Linked DNA regions of Mus musculus. The protein of the gene in region 2 interacts with the protein of the main gene of each other region in a pairwise test. Links are inferred from orthologs where the notes say so. Each region holds a gene or a part of one and is shown on either strand. Other genes may lie near its edges.

What was found.
Region 1: the proteins of Nmi (region 2) and Gcsh interact in binary tests that used the Homo sapiens proteins (3 or more experiments, as listed by UniProt). The two-hybrid records come from large-scale screens. The link is inferred for Mus musculus from reciprocal best matches to the Homo sapiens genes NMI and GCSH.
Region 3: the proteins of Nmi (region 2) and Brms1 interact in binary tests that used the Homo sapiens proteins (3 or more experiments, as listed by UniProt). The link is inferred for Mus musculus from reciprocal best matches to the Homo sapiens genes NMI and BRMS1.
Region 4: the proteins of Nmi (region 2) and Mtmr9 interact in binary tests that used the Homo sapiens proteins (3 or more experiments, as listed by UniProt). The two-hybrid records come from large-scale screens. The link is inferred for Mus musculus from reciprocal best matches to the Homo sapiens genes NMI and MTMR9.

Annotation. Positions count from the first base shown.
Region 1 is NC_000074.6:116,990,696-116,994,860, reverse strand, and holds the start of Gcsh (glycine cleavage system H protein, mitochondrial precursor), read left to right. Parts: upstream 1-1,362; 5' UTR 1,363-1,434; coding exon 1,435-1,573; intron 1,574-4,165. UniProt on the Homo sapiens protein: The glycine cleavage system catalyzes the degradation of glycine. The H protein (GCSH) shuttles the methylamine group of glycine from the P protein (GLDC) to the T protein (GCST).
Region 2 is NC_000068.7:51,970,401-51,974,612, reverse strand, and holds the start of Nmi (N-myc-interactor), read left to right. Parts: upstream 1-1,404; 5' UTR 1,405-1,704; intron 1,705-1,985; 5' UTR 1,986-2,025; intron 2,026-4,212. UniProt on the Homo sapiens protein: Acts as a signaling pathway regulator involved in innate immune system response.
Region 3 is NC_000085.6:5,039,983-5,044,165, forward strand, and holds the start of Brms1 (breast cancer metastasis-suppressor 1 homolog), read left to right. Parts: upstream 1-1,380; 5' UTR 1,381-1,508; exon of another isoform or gene 1,509-1,629; intron 1,630-4,183. Other genes in the region: B4gat1 (beta-1,4-glucuronyltransferase 1), read left to right, coding at 1-50, 325-516. UniProt on the Homo sapiens protein: Transcriptional repressor. Down-regulates transcription activation by NF-kappa-B by promoting the deacetylation of RELA at 'Lys-310'. Promotes HDAC1 binding to promoter regions.
Region 4 is NC_000080.6:63,541,151-63,545,181, reverse strand, and holds the start of Mtmr9 (myotubularin-related protein 9), read left to right. Parts: upstream 1-1,228; 5' UTR 1,229-1,542; coding exon 1,543-1,724; intron 1,725-2,057; exon of another isoform or gene 2,058-2,124; intron 2,125-2,725; coding exon 2,726-2,834; intron 2,835-4,031. UniProt on the Homo sapiens protein: Acts as an adapter for myotubularin-related phosphatases. Increases lipid phosphatase MTMR6 catalytic activity, specifically towards phosphatidylinositol 3,5-bisphosphate and MTMR6 binding affinity for phosphorylated phosphatidylinositols.

The sequences.
Region 1 (4,165 bases), on a different chromosome or scaffold from region 2:
TATCTATCTATCTATCTTTGGTTTTCGGAGACAGAGTTCCTCTGGTTGTCTGGTATAGCCCTGGCTGTTCTGGAACTCACTATAGACCAGGCTGACATTGAATTCAGAGATCTGTCCCTGAGTGCTAGGATTAAAGCTGCATGCAGCTACCAGGCTGGAATCTCTTCTTGAGGGTTGGGTTGCTTTGTTTGTTTGCTGGCTCTGTAGAGTCTTCCCTATAGGGCTGGTCAGTTTAAAGAAAAGACAGGATCACTGGCTGGCCTACAAGTGTAAGCCGGTCCTGATGTGGCCTTGAACTACTTGAGCCAGTCCCTGAGCAGGAGGCTGGCTGGGCTGGCAGGAGAAGAAACAGCCCATTTTAAAAGGTACCACCCGTTTTTAAGGTACCGGGCTTTTGTCTCAGCTCAGGGGGGTGTAGATGAAGCTGGCCATCATGGAAGCTCACCACCTTTGTCATCTACCAGAGTTTTTATCTAACTGCTACTTCCTTGCCACCAGCAGCCCTAGTTTGGCTTGAATGTCTGGTACAGCTTCTAGTATATATTGTTCCGCCCTTCCCCTCATCCACTGTACAGACTCTGGGTTCCCTGCCCCCAGTACATCCTACGCTTTTCTCTTGGCTAAGGGACACTGAGCCTTTTCAGGGAGCCTTCTCTCCCTCTCCAAGGACATCTGCAGCCACCTCAGGGTAAATCCTGTTTTGTCTTGGTGGTGCCAACCCATTTCCCTTGACAGTGAACATAAGGAATGGAGGTCCCTGACTTGATAACTCCGAGGATGGACAACTCCTTACTCGGAAATCCGCCTGCCTCTGCCTCCCGAGTGCTGGGATTAAAGGCGTGCGCCACCACGCCCGGCTCCCTTTTCTCTTTCTGTCCTTTTTCTTTCCTCCCTCCCTCCCTCTTTCTTTCTTTGAAACAGGGTTTGATGCCTAGAACGGTCTTAAATGAATCCCATGGGGGTGACCTTGTGCAGTTAGGCGTAACTGTGTGCTTTAAGGGCCTGGCGGCACCTCATCTTCCGTAGGACTTTTTGGCTTAGTGGCATGAGACTGCGTTAGCCCAGCAAAACCATCCTTGCTGGAATCTTTCTCTGGCCCCTGCAGCGATGCAGTTCAGGGCAACTCCTAGATTGCGGACTTGGAGCTTCTATTCGCAAGATTCTACTCTCCGCCCTCCAGTGAGGCCCCGCCTCCTCCCTGCCCAGCCAATCTGCGCCTCTCACACAGCCCCATCCGGGCCTCAGCGCCTCCACATGCACACGCCCCTCGCGCGGGTTGTCCTATCCGAAGTGGAACCTTCAAGATGTCCAATCAGAGCGCGCCTCTCCCGGGCTCCGCCCCCGGGCCTGGGTGCTCCGCTTACTCTGGACCCACCCCGTCCCCACCGGCCCGGTGGCGGAGGCGAAGCGCAGTTACCCTCCGGACCTCTGACCATGTCGCTGCAAGTGTCGAGGAGCTTGCGGGTTGTGGCCTACAGCCTGCGCACCGCCCTGACCTTCTGCTCGCCGCGGCCCTGTGTACCGAGCGCCGCCGCCGTCCGCTCACTGCGCACCGGATCTGCTTTGCTGTCGGGTAAGTGCAGGGCACGTGGTCACCGCTCCTGCCCGCCCTACTCCCAAGCCTCCTGGCCGGACCGACCTATAGCCCTACCCACGCTTCTCGCTCTTGGGATCCTGGTTCTGCGGCCTTTCTCCCTAAGTAGGCGGGAGAGTACAGGAGCAAACTTTGAACCCGGGGTAGAAAGGTGGAGCTGGGAGGGAAGGACGGCTGGACCCGCAGGTAAACCGGCCACTCGTGCCGGGCTGAGCTTGCTTTTAGGTGCACCGAGATCCTAAATGTGGGGAGCACTTAGGTTTGCTGTGGAACCTAACAGCAGTTTGTTTACGAGGAACTGCGAAGTGAAGTTAAGCAGAAACACATACTAAAATTTAGCAGAATGCATATACAGATGAATGAAAAGTCAGAGTAACAGAAATAAGCTTTTTACTCTCTCCCCCGCCCCCCGCAAAATCAAGCGTAGTGAGGAAGCTTTAGCTGTGAACTACAGACAGCAGGAAAAGTTCTAACGTCTGAGTCATTGATGTGTACTGGGGTTCAAACGAGCCTGGTTTGACGGACTGGAAATAGCTGGGAGACCTGCCCATTGTACGCGTTTGCACAGTTAGCTGGGAAACAGTTTTATGTGCAAGTAGTGGAGACCTTACTCAGGCAGCACAAATCGGAACGGCTGCTCTCAGCGAGTGCCGTGGGTCAGAAATCTGTGGAACTCAAAATGTTGATCACGTTATTCCTCGGTGTGGAGTGCCACGTTTCTTCCTTTCTTGCTAAAATTTCTCCAGTTTTTCACACACCAGACCGTTATTGACTGGAGTACAAGGGTAAAGAAATGCTCAAATAAGCAGTCCGTTTCAAACCAGGCATGGTGGGTGGCTTCCACCGGTAACCGTGTCAGCACTGCTGAGGTGGAGGATCGCTGTGAGGCCGAGGGCAGCTGGAGCTACATACTGAGTTCCAGGTATTTGGTTAAATATTGCCTAATGTGTCAATTCCCACGGTCTGCTTAACTACTCAGGTTCTTTTCATTTTTACCCTCTTTGAACTGGCAGAATTGTGCACACTTATTATGCAGGGTGCAGAGCCTTGTGCTTGTTGAAACACAGACATTATTCAATTCTGGTTTTTCCTCTTAGAGCTGTGTGGTCTCGGGCACAGTCTCTCAACTTCTCAGAACCCCAGTGCCCTGCATTAGAACAGTGGAGGCGAGGCAATAGCTACCTCAGAGTTACTGGGAAGTCGTCCTGTCACCTGCAGCTTGACATATTAGCAGTGAATAGTTTTATTAACTATTAGTGTGTAGTGCCAGATAGCACCACTGACCCATATTAAGCAAGCTATTGTGTTTGAGAATGCAGTATCTTCAGTTTCAGCTCAGATTTTCTGAGGCCCCAAACCATGGTGGGGTTTTGTTTCTGTTTTCTCAAGGCTGGGTTTCTCTGTGTAATCTTCCCTATTCTAGAACTCTCTCTCTCTGTAGATCAGGCTGGCCTAGAACTCACAGAAGTCTACCTGCCTCTTCCTCTCTGAGTGCTGGGATTTAGGTGTGCCGCCCCCCCCCCCCCCCCCAGTCTGTTTCTGCTCTGAGGTCTGCTCTCACTGCGAAGCTGGAGAGACCCCTGTGTAGCTGAGGATGACAACTTCAGATCCTTCCACAGTGCTGCGACTGGACTGCCGAGCACCACCAAACCCAGCTGTGCAATGGTAGAGACTGAACTCAGAGCTACCACAGTGATAGGCAAGCACCCATCCCCCAAAGCCACATCCCCAGGTCTCAAACTGTGTTTTTCGAGGATTAGGAAGAAAGTAATTATTTACCTAATCTGCTTTCTTCAGTGAGGTCAAGGGTTAACGGAGAATTGTAATCTGTGCCTAAGCCTAGGTAGCATTCCTGGGCTAAAAGGACAATATGGACTTTAAGGGCAAGTGGACCTGGGTGTGCTGAGCTCAGAATGCTGCTGGCTCAAACTGAAGCTGCAAAGTTGAGGCAGAGCAGCGACACTGTCAGCGGTGTGGCCGAGGATAGCGCAAAGGGTCAGAGATCTGTGACTGTCCGCCCCTGGTCAGATGCTGTGTTGAGGTGATGATTGTTGGTCATAAGGTAATCAGGGGGTTCTAGACTTGTAAGAGAATGGCAGTTGAGAGCCACAGCCACATAGCTGTGCATCATCTTTGACCCAAATCCCTTTTCCTTTATTTTTTTTAGCAGGGTTGGGAATTGAAGCCAAGGCTTTGGCCCTTTCTTCAAGGACAGGCTTAAAGAATTGCAGAATTTTAAGAACTTGGCCAAGTTATAATTGTTTATAGGAAGCCTGTTTCAGTCCATAGAACTAAGTTGCAGTTACCTTAGAGAACTCTACCTAAAGACTCACATTACCCTTTTTTAGGTTAAATCTTTTGGTTTTCATATCTTTGTTGTTGTTGTTTTGTTTCTTGAGACAGGGTTTCTCTGCAGCCCTGGCTGTCCTGGAACTTACTCTGTAGACCAGGCTGGCCTTGAACTCAGAAATCCACCTGCCTCTGCCTCCCAAGTGCTGGGATTAAAGGCGTGCGCCACCACGCCCAGCTTGGTTTTCATATCTTAAAAGGTTTATGCTACACGTGTTTTGC
Region 2 (4,212 bases):
CTTCTTTCTTTCTTTTTTTAAAAATTTTTTTAATTAGGTATTTTCCTCATTTACATTTCCAATGCTATCCCAAAAGTCCCCCATACCCACCCCCCCCCACTCCCCTACCCACCCACTCCCCCCTCCTGGCCCTGGCGTTCCCCTGTACTGGGGCATATAAAGTTTGCAAGTCCAATGGGCCTCTCTTTCCAGTGATGGCCGACTAGGCCATCCTTTGATACATATGCAGCTAGAGACAAGAGCTCCGGGGTACTGCTTAGTTCATATTGTTGTTCCACCTATAGGGTTGTAGTTCCCTTTAGTTCCTTGGGTGCTTTCTCTAGTTCCTCCATTGGGGGCCCTGTGATCCATTCAATAGCTGACTGTGAGCATCCACTTCTGTGTTTGCTAGGCCCCCACTTGTTTCTTTTTTAAAATAAGTAATTTGTTTATTCACTTTATATCCCAACATCAACTCTTCCTCTCCTCCCAGTCCCACCCTCTCACATCTTCTCAGCCCTTCCCCATCTCCTTTCCGAAGGGGAAACCCACCCCTGTGTATTACGTCCGGATAGCCCCATTCCTTATCCAGTGCACCACTCACTGAGTGTTTGTTCTTTCTAATTGGGCTGACAACTCAAAAGAAACCCTTAACCTGTTTTAAAAGACAGGGTCTTACTATGTGGCTCTGGTGTCACTGAAAAGTAGGTCCTATCACTGCCTTCACCACCCCCACCCCCCTCCCCGTGTCCACATCCTACCCAGACAAGGTCTCTCTGTGTAGCCTTAGCTGTTCTGGAACTCTGGCCTTCAACCTTCAACTCACAGAGATCCTGCTACCAACTAGGGGCCCCATCACTTTTTTTTTTTTTTTTTTTTAAGACAGGGTTTCTCTGCATAGCCCTGGCTGTCCTGGAACTCACTCTTAAGACCAGGCTGGCCTCGAACTCAGAAATTCACCTGACTCTGCCTCCCAAGTGCTGAGATTAAAGGCGTGCGCCACCACTGCCCGGCTCCATCACTGTTCTTGATGGAAAGAATTTTGCTTCTGCCAAGTGCATCATTTTATTCCGAGCCGTTAGTTAGTATGCACAGATATAGAGCGCCACCATGTAGAAGGGAGGCCCTGATAGCTCTTTGCTGTCTTCCACAGCTCTGTGCTCATGTGCTGCCTAGCTGTGGAGTAACCAGTTCTTGATGTAGGATTAGGGAACACTGCCGTTCTTGACGGAAGCCAGCTATTTTTCTAGCAAAGGAAAAGTTCACATCTAGCGATGTGTTTGTTTACAAAATCTTCACAACAAAAACAAAGCTTAGAAGAAAACTTTCAAGGGTCATAAAATCCAACCCAGGAAGCAGCTTTCTCAGCTTCCTGGTTTATCTTGTGCTTGTGTCAAACTTTATAACCGTCTAAAAAGTTACAGAGAGAGGATTTGCATAGAGAGCTCTGGTTTCCATCCAGCTTTTCAACAGCGTGTTCCGCATAATGCACATAAATAAGCTTTTCTAAGCAGGTCTCGGAGTTACTGCCAATAATAAGAGACAGCAGCAATGGCGCCCTGGACGAAGTCCTCAGGGCATGGAGCAGAAGCATCCTGTTTCTAATAACCGAAAGTGAAAGTAAGGCCTGGGACTGAGCGCTGCTCGTCGCTGAAGCCAGGTTAGTGTTTTCGAGGTAGAGTTCAGTTCTAAGGCACCGGCTTCCGGGAGCTGCGCAGCGAGCGGGTGAGTGCTTGATCCATCCTCGGTCCGCCGCGTCCCTGCGGTCCCACCACCCGCGCTCAGGGATGCTCCACCCGGCGCGCGGTGGGCGGCGGCTTCCAGCGCCGCGACTCGGGGTCTGGGTCCCCAGTGCGCTGCCTGGAGACTCGCCCGCTCCAGGCGCTCCGGCCATGGGTTGCTTCCCTTCCTGGGAAAAGGAAACTTACAGTCATTGGGACTGGCTCCAGAAGGTTCTTAGAAAAATGGATTTCTCAGGAAGACTATTATTTGTATTTCTTTGGCAGGTGCTGAGTTCTGTAGTCCTGCCTCACTTTTTCAGAATATGTAAGTTGTTGTTGTTGTTGTTGTTGTTGTTGTTGTTGTTGTTGTTGTTGTTGTTTTTGGAAGGAGATGTTGAAAGGAGAATATTCAATGTAAGTTCTAGCGGGCACTGGTTTGGGTTAAGAGGACTCCTGCTCCAAAGGCACCCGAGCTACCTTGTGTGCCCCGAAGGAAACTTCCTGTGTCCTGTCCAGCCAGGAGAGAGGGAAAGCAGCAGGTTCCACTGGGCCAGAGAATGAAATCACCTCTCCTTTACTCCCCACAAAAAGCTCTTGAACATTCACCAATCAGTTATTCTGTTCCGGTCTCCCCGGCCCTGACTTGCAGAGAACTTAACTGTGAACCAATCAGTTCAGTTTCTGCATTTTCAGCTTTCTTCTCTGCCTATAAAGCAAACTTCTGCATAGCAGTGAAAACATTTGAGGCAACTGCTTTCTATTTACATTGTGCTGGCTTTGAACTCTTGATCCTCCTGTTACAGACCTGTGCCACTACACTCAGACAGACCACTTACTCGATTTATTCAATCAAGTGTGCCCTGATTGTAAAAGAAATTCAATTAGGATCTTTTAATTGTTAACATTGTATCCATCTTTTGACTTGTTTCTGGTCTATACAACATGGATACATTATAATTTCTTCCTTCCTTCCTTTCTTTTAATTTAATGTATATGAGTACTCTGTAGCTCTCTTCAGACACACCAGAAGAGGGTATCGGATCCCATTACAGGTGGTTGTGAACCACCATGTGGTTGCTGGGAATTGAACTCAGGACCTCTGGAAGAGCAGTCAGTGCTCTTAACCGCCGAGTCATCTCTCCAGCCCATTTTCTTCCTTCTTTATGCTGCCAGGAACTCTGTGTACCCGCCCCCCGCACCCCCCCCCCGATATAAGTATCCCTAGGAAAATGAGATGATTTTTTTTTAAGTTTACTGCCATAATAAATTACATGGCCTTGGTGGCTTATGCATACATGTGTGTGCATGTACACACTTTTCAATTTAAAAATACTTACTTTTAGTACTATTTTAAAATTAGATTGTGTGTGCCCGTGTGTGCCTGTGTGTGCCTGTGTGTATCCGTGTGTGCCCGTGTGTGTCTGTGTGTGTCTGTGTGTCAGTTGTAGGCATCTGCGGCTCTCCCTGGATAAAGTAAAAGGGCTAGCAGAGCTGTCTTCTGTTCTGGGAGCTCTCTCGGGATGAACTCATTCCGTCTCCATTTCCAAAGTTAGGACCAGCATTGCTTCTCTGATCATGTTTCTGTGTTCAGTCTAACTCTGGTGTTATCCCCTTCTTACTCTAGAGGGCCTTCTGGATCATGTTAAGTTTTCACACACAATGCAGGATGATCTGCATATTGTGTGTGTGTGTGTGTGTGTGTGTGTGCACTCGCGCAGGCTAGCACGTGCATATGTGTACATACCTGAGCATGCACCTGTGGAGGCCAGAGGTGGAAGGCTGGATATTGTCTTCTCTTTTGCTCCACCTTAATTTCTGAGTCAGGCTCTCTCAATGGACCTGGACTTTGGCTAGACTGAGAGTGACTTTCAGGACACCTTCGAACCTTGCCCAGGATGGGAAGTACCAGTGCTTACCCAGCAAGCTCTTTACCCTGGAGCCATCTCTCCAGGTTCCACCTCTGTATTTTACAATCAGCATCCTGAATTCAGTTTGCAGCCTTAAATCTTCTCTGCAGTGTAATCTAATGTTTTCACAAGTTCTTGGGACTAGAACATGGATGTCTTTGAAGGTGTCATTTTTCTGCTTACTATAAGATTGCTTGAAAGGGAAGAATTACCACATATTCCACACAGTGTGAAAGGGAAAATATTTAGATGAGAAATATGATGAACACATTCTGGGGGCGCTATGTAATAGACCACTTACAGCAAGAGATTTTAAGAATATTGGTGTTTTGGGCTGGAGAGATGGCACAGAGGTAAGAGCACTGACTGCTCTTCCAGAGGTCCTGAGTTCAGTTCCCAGCAACCACATGGCGGCTCATAACCATCTGTAATGGGATCCGATGCCCTCTTCTGGTGAGTCTGAAGACAGTGACAGTGTACTCATATATAAAAATATATCAAAATAAATAAATGAATCTTAAAAAAAAACAAAATGAATCTAAAAAATGTTTAAAAGAAGAATATTGGTGTTTTAATAACAATATTTAAAAACAATTATAAATGTT
Region 3 (4,183 bases), on a different chromosome or scaffold from region 2:
CCACATTTGACGAACGCTTTCGGCAGTATGGTTTCAATCGAATCAGCCAGGTACTTAAAAGGGAGAGGGCATGTAGGACTAAGACTGGAGGCGTGTCAGGGGTGAAGTGGCCATTGGTGGAAAGGAGGCAGTGAAGCAAGAAGAAAGTGGTTGGATGATGGAGAATTGAGGACAGTGGAGTGGAACTTTAGGGATGATCATGTGGGCCCTGGGGATATCATTAAGTTATTGTGATTAAATCACTGTGACCTCTCCCTGTCTCTCTCCCTCTCTTCCCTCTCCCCTCCTCTATCTCTCCCTCCCCCCCCCCCGCCCCTTTTCCAGGCTTGTGAGCTGCACGTGGCAGGGTTTAATTTTGAGGTGCTGAACGAAGGTTTTCTGGTTCATAAGGGATTCAAGGAGGCATTGAAGTTCCATCCCCAAAAGGAGGCTGAAAACCAGCGCAATAAGATCCTTTACCGCCAGTTCAAACAGGAGTTGAAGGCTAGGTACCCCAACTCTCCCCACCGATGCTGAGTCCTTGTCTTCCATGGTCTGAGAATTGTCAGTATCTGGCTCCAGGCCTGACTGGGGTAAGAAACATGCCTCCACTTTACAGAGGTAGCTATGGGTTTGGAACACTGGACTTGACTATGGGGTGCTGGGAGTCAAGTCTCAGCTTTACCACTAACTAGCTGTGTGGCCTTGAGCAAATACTATTACTTCTCTGAGCCTCCGTTACGCCGTCTGTAAAAAGGGAGGTGAAAATACCTACCTCACAGAACTGTTGGCTCAGATGAGACGCTGTATGTGTAAACATCCTGTAAACTTCGTACAAATGTGAAGTATTATTAATATTGCTACAGTGTTATTATGATATTGTTACTATTAACCATGTTGGGTGGATAGCGGCAGAGCAAAAAGTTTGAATGGGCTAGAGGTGGGAAGCTTGAGTGTTTAATAAAATGAGGCTTTTGGAAAGAAAGATGAAAACGTAGAATGTAGTGCTAAGAACGTTTCCCGTTCTCTCATGCCTTCGCCCTCCGCCCTCCGAGATCCCTGAAGGAGGAAAGAGATAAAGGTTAAAGTCCCAGATCTGTGCCCTCCAGTAGGTTGGGCTGCTCATTTGCCTTCGGATGACATTATGTAAATAAACGAATGTCACACCCACAGCTGGCTCTGTTACTCTCCTAAGCCGAGGGGTGGTGGGCCGGAGCACCGTGTTAGACGGCGGTGGACCCAAGGACACCGACCACAATGCTAGGACAGGCTGAAGGCCTGGGTTACTGGGGGCCAGTTGCTATGGAGACCCGTCCGCCGTATCCCGGCATGCCTGGACACCAGTGGTTCCATTGTAAGCGCCACAAATGGGCGCCTCCTGATGACGCACACGGAAGCGTCGACACCTCCTGGAGAAAGAGAATCCTGCGCAGCACTGTTCCGGAGATCAACGGCGGCGGCGTTCACACCCTGGGTCGGACAGCTCTCCGGGAGTCCTGGACGTGAGGCCGGAGGCCCCAGTGTCTGCGGTGCGTATGGCCACGCCCGGCGCTGGGTTGGGCTTTCCGGATCGGAGCTAAAGCAGAGACTTAACCGGCCCGACTCGCGCGCTGGCCTGAGAGGAGCCCGCGGTTCCGAGGGTGGATCGAGGTGGGATAGTTCCTTGCGCCGCAGAGTTTGTCCTCTGTGTCTGTAGGGAGGGGTCTGCTTTCCCTGGAGGTTTGCTGTGGAGGTGCTTATACACCGCGCGTTTACCGTGTGCCTCTTCCACTCCCTACAACCCTCAGCAATGGTATATCCCCTATTTGTACCCGGGTTAAGGAGGGACGATTGGTTGTGACTTCATTTAACGAAGTCAGGATCAGAGTCAGCTGGAGGAAGGAGATCCTTGAATTCATCCTGCGTCTTAGAAAGAGTATATACAACGGTGAAAAGGAATTGCCAGTGTGGAGGGTCTGAGGCGTGAAAAGGGGAACAGTGAGGCTGTTTTGGAGATCTGGATTTTCAGAGCAGGAGGAAATGCTACTAAACTCTCCTGCAGGTCCGGCGCTATAATTACTTGCATGGGTGTGAAGGAGCGTTACTCCAAGTAGGGTTGCCAAGAAGGAAAAGCCAGTTTCTATACTGCAAAAGTTTATGTTGTTTAATTTGGGTTTAGAAATTCCCAGTCATCAAGTGAGCTGGCACTGCACTGGGCGAGTAGGACAGCCTGCTGCCCTGTCCTGATGAAACACCCACATTTCACTGGGTGGTCGGACATGAGACTGGGAGAATATGAGATAAAAAACAAAGAAACCTTTAATCCCAGCACTAGGGAGGCAGAGGCAGGCAGATTTCTGAGTTCGAGGCCAGCCTGGTCTACAGAGTGAGTTCCAGGACAGCCAGGGCTACACAGAGAAACCCTGTCTCGAAAAAAACAAAACAAAAAAAAACTTCCTGGGGGAAGGAGTTATGCCTTCCCCATGGGAAAGACTTACAGAGCAGCAACCAGAGATGTAGAAATCACACCAGTGTGAACTAGAAGCATCTACATCCAAGATGACCTATTCTCTCTGGGGGCCTGGCAGTATCAATCTCTCGTTGTCTCCTTCCTTCTGAAAATACCTTCCACCCTAACTCTTGGATTTTCAATCTGTTCTGCAGAGGTTTCTCCTCCTGCCTCCTTTGTTGACCTTGGGAATTCCAACAGAGGCCCCTTCTCACAGTTCCGCCTGAAAAGTCAGACTGCACAAAGCCTAAATAACTTGCCGTATGTAGCTAGAGGAGCCTGGGTCTAGTGGAAGTTCACATGCCTGTGTCCCTGGTCCCTTTTCTCACTTCTAGGTCTTTGTACTTGTTTTTCACTCTGCCTGGAATGTTCCATCTCAGGCGGCCTGGTCCTCACCTAGTCTGTCTCCCTCTGGAAGCTGTCACTGTAGCAGCAAGCTCCAGCTCCTGTGTAGACACCTCCCATAACACCTTAATTTGACTCTCTTCACACCATTATAAAGGTCTGCTTCTTTGCGTTTCTCCCAGAAATTTGTCATTTCCTCGAGGCCAAAGGCTGTCATAGCTATACTGTAGCATCTGCCACAGTCCACGGTGACTGTTGGTGCCTGGCACACTTTAGGTGCTTAGTAAATACTGGATAAGTAGGAAGAAAGGTAGGGGAGGGGCTTAGTGTTCACTGTTTCTGAAAGGTTACCTAAGGCAAGCACTGGCAAATGTTGGTGTTTGCTACAAGGAAATTGATTCGTAATTCTGCCGCAGTGGTTTTAGTGTGAGTGCTGGGTATCCAAACACTGAAAGAGGAGGAGGTGAAAGTCAGAATAGCAAGTGTGCGCAAGGCCCAGAGAACTACAGAAAATTAACTAAACGGGGCTGTTTCATATTTCTGCATTCATTCTTTTACCTACTCATTTGGATTTGACACAGCCTCACCAGCTATTGCTAGCCTGAAACTAACTGTATATCAGGCTGGGCTTGAATTTGTAGTAATCCCCCTGCCTCCTGAATGCTAAGATAACAGGCCTGTACCACCTCACTTGGCTTTATTTTTTTATTTGTGTTTGTTTTTTCCAGAGAGATCTAGTCTAGGTGCCTCTTCAGACAGCAATCTACCACTGACCTGTACCCCCAGACATACTGCTTTTGTGTCTTTTTAAGACAGAGCTTCGCTGTCTAACCCAGAATGGCCTCCTGCGTCAGCGTGTGGATTATGTATATGAACCTCATCAGGCTCTCTCTGCTTTTTAGTTTTTTTTTTCTCTCCAGTACTGGGAATTGAGACCTAGAATTGAATTCTAGAAACACCTCGAACTCAGAAATCCGCCTGCCTCTGCCTGTGCTGGGATTAAAGGCGTGCGCCACCACGCCCGGCCTTCTTTTCCTTTTTTTAAAAGATTTGTTTATTTTATGTAAATGAGAACACTGTAGCTGTCTTCAGACACACCAGAAGAGGGCATTGGATCCCATTACAGATGGTTGTGAGCTACCATGTGATTGCTGGGAATTGAACTCAGGGCCTCCGGAAGAGCAGTCAGTGTCCTCTTACCTGCTGAGCCGCCTCTCCAGCCCCTCCTGTTTTTCCTCAGGAAAACCCTGAGCTTCCGCATCTGAACTTCCACAGAGGAAGGTGCTTCCTGTTCACGTCCTTAGGAGTGCTAGGGGCTTAGGATATTGCTCAGTGGTAGTTGGGGCTCAGCATTTATGGGAATCTGAGTTC
Region 4 (4,031 bases), on a different chromosome or scaffold from region 2:
AAACTGGATCGCAGGAGTGAGTGATTTAGGAAGGGAAGGTTTTTAGAAAAGACAAGAACAAAATCAAGGACAAACACTGTGCAATCTGGTCAACTTCACTTTGCACACTCTGAAGTCAGCTACCTTGCTGTTCGTAGACACTGACTGGGTGGTGAGAATTTTCACTGCTAACACAGTAAAAGCAGGCCAGGACTCAAACATAATTCTTATTCTGGGATAAAGTAGAGGGATAGAAAGCAAGAAGAGGGAAATTCTATAGGTGGAACAACATTATGAACTAACCAGTACCCCGGAGCTCTTGACTCTAGCTGCATATGTATCAAAAGATGGCCTAGCCGGCCATCACTGGAAAGAGAGGCCCATTGGACTTGCAAACTTTATATGCCCCAGTACAGGGGAATGCCAGGGCCAAAAAGTGGGAGTGGGTGGGTAGGGGAGTGGGGGGGGGTATGGGGGACTTTTGGGATAGCATTGGAAATGTAAATGAGGAAAATACCTAATAAAAAATTAAAAAAAAAAAAAAAGAAGAGGGAAATTACAACAGCAAAACTCTGTCATTGCAGTGTCCGTGAGCAGTTCAGCTAGACTGTACTTAGCCGGGATACTATGAAGTCGTGACCAATATACCAAGGTCTTGATTTCAGGCTTTGCTACAGATTAACTGAACTATCTCTGAAGACACTAGAGTCCTTTCGCAGGGCGAGGATTAGTCAGTTTCTCTTTCCATCCTTTTAGAATATGCTGTTCTTGGTTAAAGTCATGGCGCTCTCAAAGAGTCTAAAGCATAGATTGTCCCATGTCTCTTCCAGACACCAAGATGCTACTTTTCGATCACAACCTCCGCTTCCATCCTACATTTGACATCTCTTCGTGACCAATTCATGAGACAACTACCAGGTAGCGCAAACGAAGAGCCCTTGAGGGACAGCACTCATGTGGAGGCTGGCAGGTCAGCGACGTCTTCTCGTCTCGCCTTTTCCGATAAGGAATATTTGAAGGGCAAGGATTGCGGCGGTAGAAGGTGAAAGAGGTTTTGGTTGGTTTTGTTTTGTTTTGTTTTGTTTTTCCATTGTAGGACCATAAAGTCATTGTTTCTGGCTGTGTTCCACCGGATCTAGCAAAGTACCAACTTCCGGTCCGGTTTCTATGTCTTCCGAGTCTCGAGTCCCTCTAATTGTGCAGGAGTTCCTGCCGGGTGCAACGCTCAGCAGCTACTTCCGCCAGAAGTCCCTGGCTGCTCGGGCTCGGATGCTGCTGCCCCGACGCCGGGTCCGTCTCCTCCGCAGCCCGCCCGTCAGACGCCGGTGGCAGCGGGGAGTGCAGGGCCTGGCGGGAAGCCTTCTCTGCGACCGAGTCCCGGCCAGTGGTGCGGAAGAGACTTGGAGAAGCGGCCAGGGCGGTGCCCGCAGGCCCTGGCGCACCCGCCCAGCCGGGGCGGGGCTCGACCTCCCGGGCCCGCCCAGCCGGGGCTCCGTCCGGGTCTGCGGATTAACCGCCGGGCACCTGCGGGACTGGGCCTCCCGCCCCTAGGCTGCGCCCAATATGGAGTTTGCGGAGCTGATTAAAACCCCACGGGTAGACAATGTGGTGCTGCACCGGCCTTTCTACACCGCCGTGGAAGGGACCCTGTGTCTGACAGGCCACCACCTGATCCTGTCTTCCCGGCAGGACAACACGGAGGAGCTCTGGCTCCTCCATTCAAATATCGACGCCATCGACAAACGGTGAGCGCCCACCACACCCAGGTCCCGGAGGAGCCTGGAACGGAACAGACGCTTTCAGGTGGTTTTTTATGGGTATCCTGGCTCAGCCAGCCAAATGAGCCTTCTGGGGCCTAGATCTATCTGCACTGGCCACCTGGCATCCCCAGGCTAAGGTCTCAGAGTCGTAGTGGTCATTTTGAACAGCATTTGGGCGTATTTTTAAATGTTCTTTGTAAAAAAAAAATTTCTTCCACCACATTTCTTGAATTATTGGTTGTTGTTAATCTGACTTCACGAAGTTATGATTCAATACAATTTAAAGCGACCCCTCCCCCACGATCTCGTTTTTAAATAGGCATGCTCAGCCCTTTGCAGCATAGGCCGGTCTTGAACTTCCAACTCTCCAGCCCCAGCCTCCCAAGTAAGTGCTGGAATTACAGTTGTGTGTGTATGGGCCGCTATGCCTGGCCATAGTATTTAACTGAGTACACTGTCATTTTTTCCATATATATGCATATGCATTTTAGTCTCTCCTTAAAACGTTTTAAAATCGGTAAGGTGCACCCCTGTAATAGCTGATGGGGAGTGCCGATGCAGGTGGATGACAAATTTTACACCCCTGCTCATTTAGGGAAGACTGAGTTTATCATATTGCATCTTACTTATTCTCTGGAATGATCACTTCCCACTGAGGGTAATCATTAGCCCTTAACATTCAGTTTTTCTTGTGAAAAGAAAGGGGCTGGCTCTAAAGGAACATAGGAACTAATTCATCTTTATTTCCCTACTCCATCACTTTAAATTTTTTATTTTTACTTATGTGTGTATGTGTGTATCTGTGTACAAGATACCATCAGCAGACTACTAGACTCCTCAGTTCATCTTTATTGCATAAATGTATTCAATGGTCTCTCATGCCTGCATGATAAAGACTGAATCCCTGGTTCTCTGTGTTCTGGTTCTCACCTACTGTCCTCACTAGTTTTCTTACCATTTTCATGATTTCATGTAATTTCTTACAGATTTGTGGGCTCTCTGGGTACCATCATCATAAAATGTAAAGATTTCCGAATCATTCAGTTGGATATTCCTGGAATGGAGGAGTGTTTAAATATAGCCAGTTCCATTGAGGTAAGTATGCTGCAGGCAAAATTCTGATAGGAAAATGGCGATATTTTGATTTTGTACAGCCCTTGATGCATAAGAATCATTTACTGTGCGAATCTTGCTACTTTCGCTCTGAAGACAGTTTGTGAACTGTTTTTCTGTTTCTGTAGATTTCCTGAAAGAACATCCTATGTGAAATTGTAAGCCAGTAAAACAAATACAGTGTAGCTGATTGTGGCCATGTTACAGTCCTTGGGCATCACAGTGAGCAAGTGTGGTCATCCTGAGTGGAGCAGCTCTGAAACCCTTCAACTCTGAGCAGTGCTCTTATACTGTGATTGTTGCAGTAGTGAGGTCCTGTTAACATGGGGCCTATGGGTGAAGCACCTCACCTCTCACAGTTAGCCTGTAGTGTCTTATAAAAGGAAGATGACATTACCTGCCTTTTATAGGTGTTTTACGATTACATTCGTGGGTTTATGTAGAATGCTTAGTATAATTATTGGCAAATGGTTGCTGTCATTGGAGGACCCTTCTATGGCAACAGCTTTATTTTGAGACTTTGTGGTAGAAATTAGCCATATCACATAAAGTTCACTGTCGTACCATTTCTTAGCTTACCATTGCACTGTGTGTCAGATGTATACTCTCAGTGTTGTGTATACAGACAAAGCAAGTGATTGTCACCAACAGTTGCCATTTGTGACTTTGGCATGTCTGCACGTATGTATTTGTTTTTGCCAGTTCACCTAAGGCGTGTCTGTTTATGCATGTATAAAAGCGTTGAGCCACACATAGAAACTTTGCTTGGATAGTTTAAGGTCTCTGATGAAGGTCTCACATTCTTTTCCTTCTTCTAACTATTTTGGTTACTCCAACTTTTAAATTGCTGCCACTAAATTATATCAATTATATCAACTGACTGTTTAAAGTAATTTCTAGGCAATTATAGAGTCAAGCTGATTTTATTTTCTTTCTGTGTAACTGACTTACTGGGCTTTATGTAAAAAAAAAATAGTGGGTTTAGCTCTTAAAAGGAGAGAGAAAGCCTTAAATCTATAATTAGAATTTTGTTTGGCTTTCAACAAGAAGTAGAGGATCAAGTAATATGTTGTCGAGGAAATGACACACAAACCTTTCTGCTTTTGCCAAGTTCTACTGGAAGAAATGAGCATGTAAGTTGAATAGTCTGCCATATGTAGTTGTCACTTGGAAGTATGC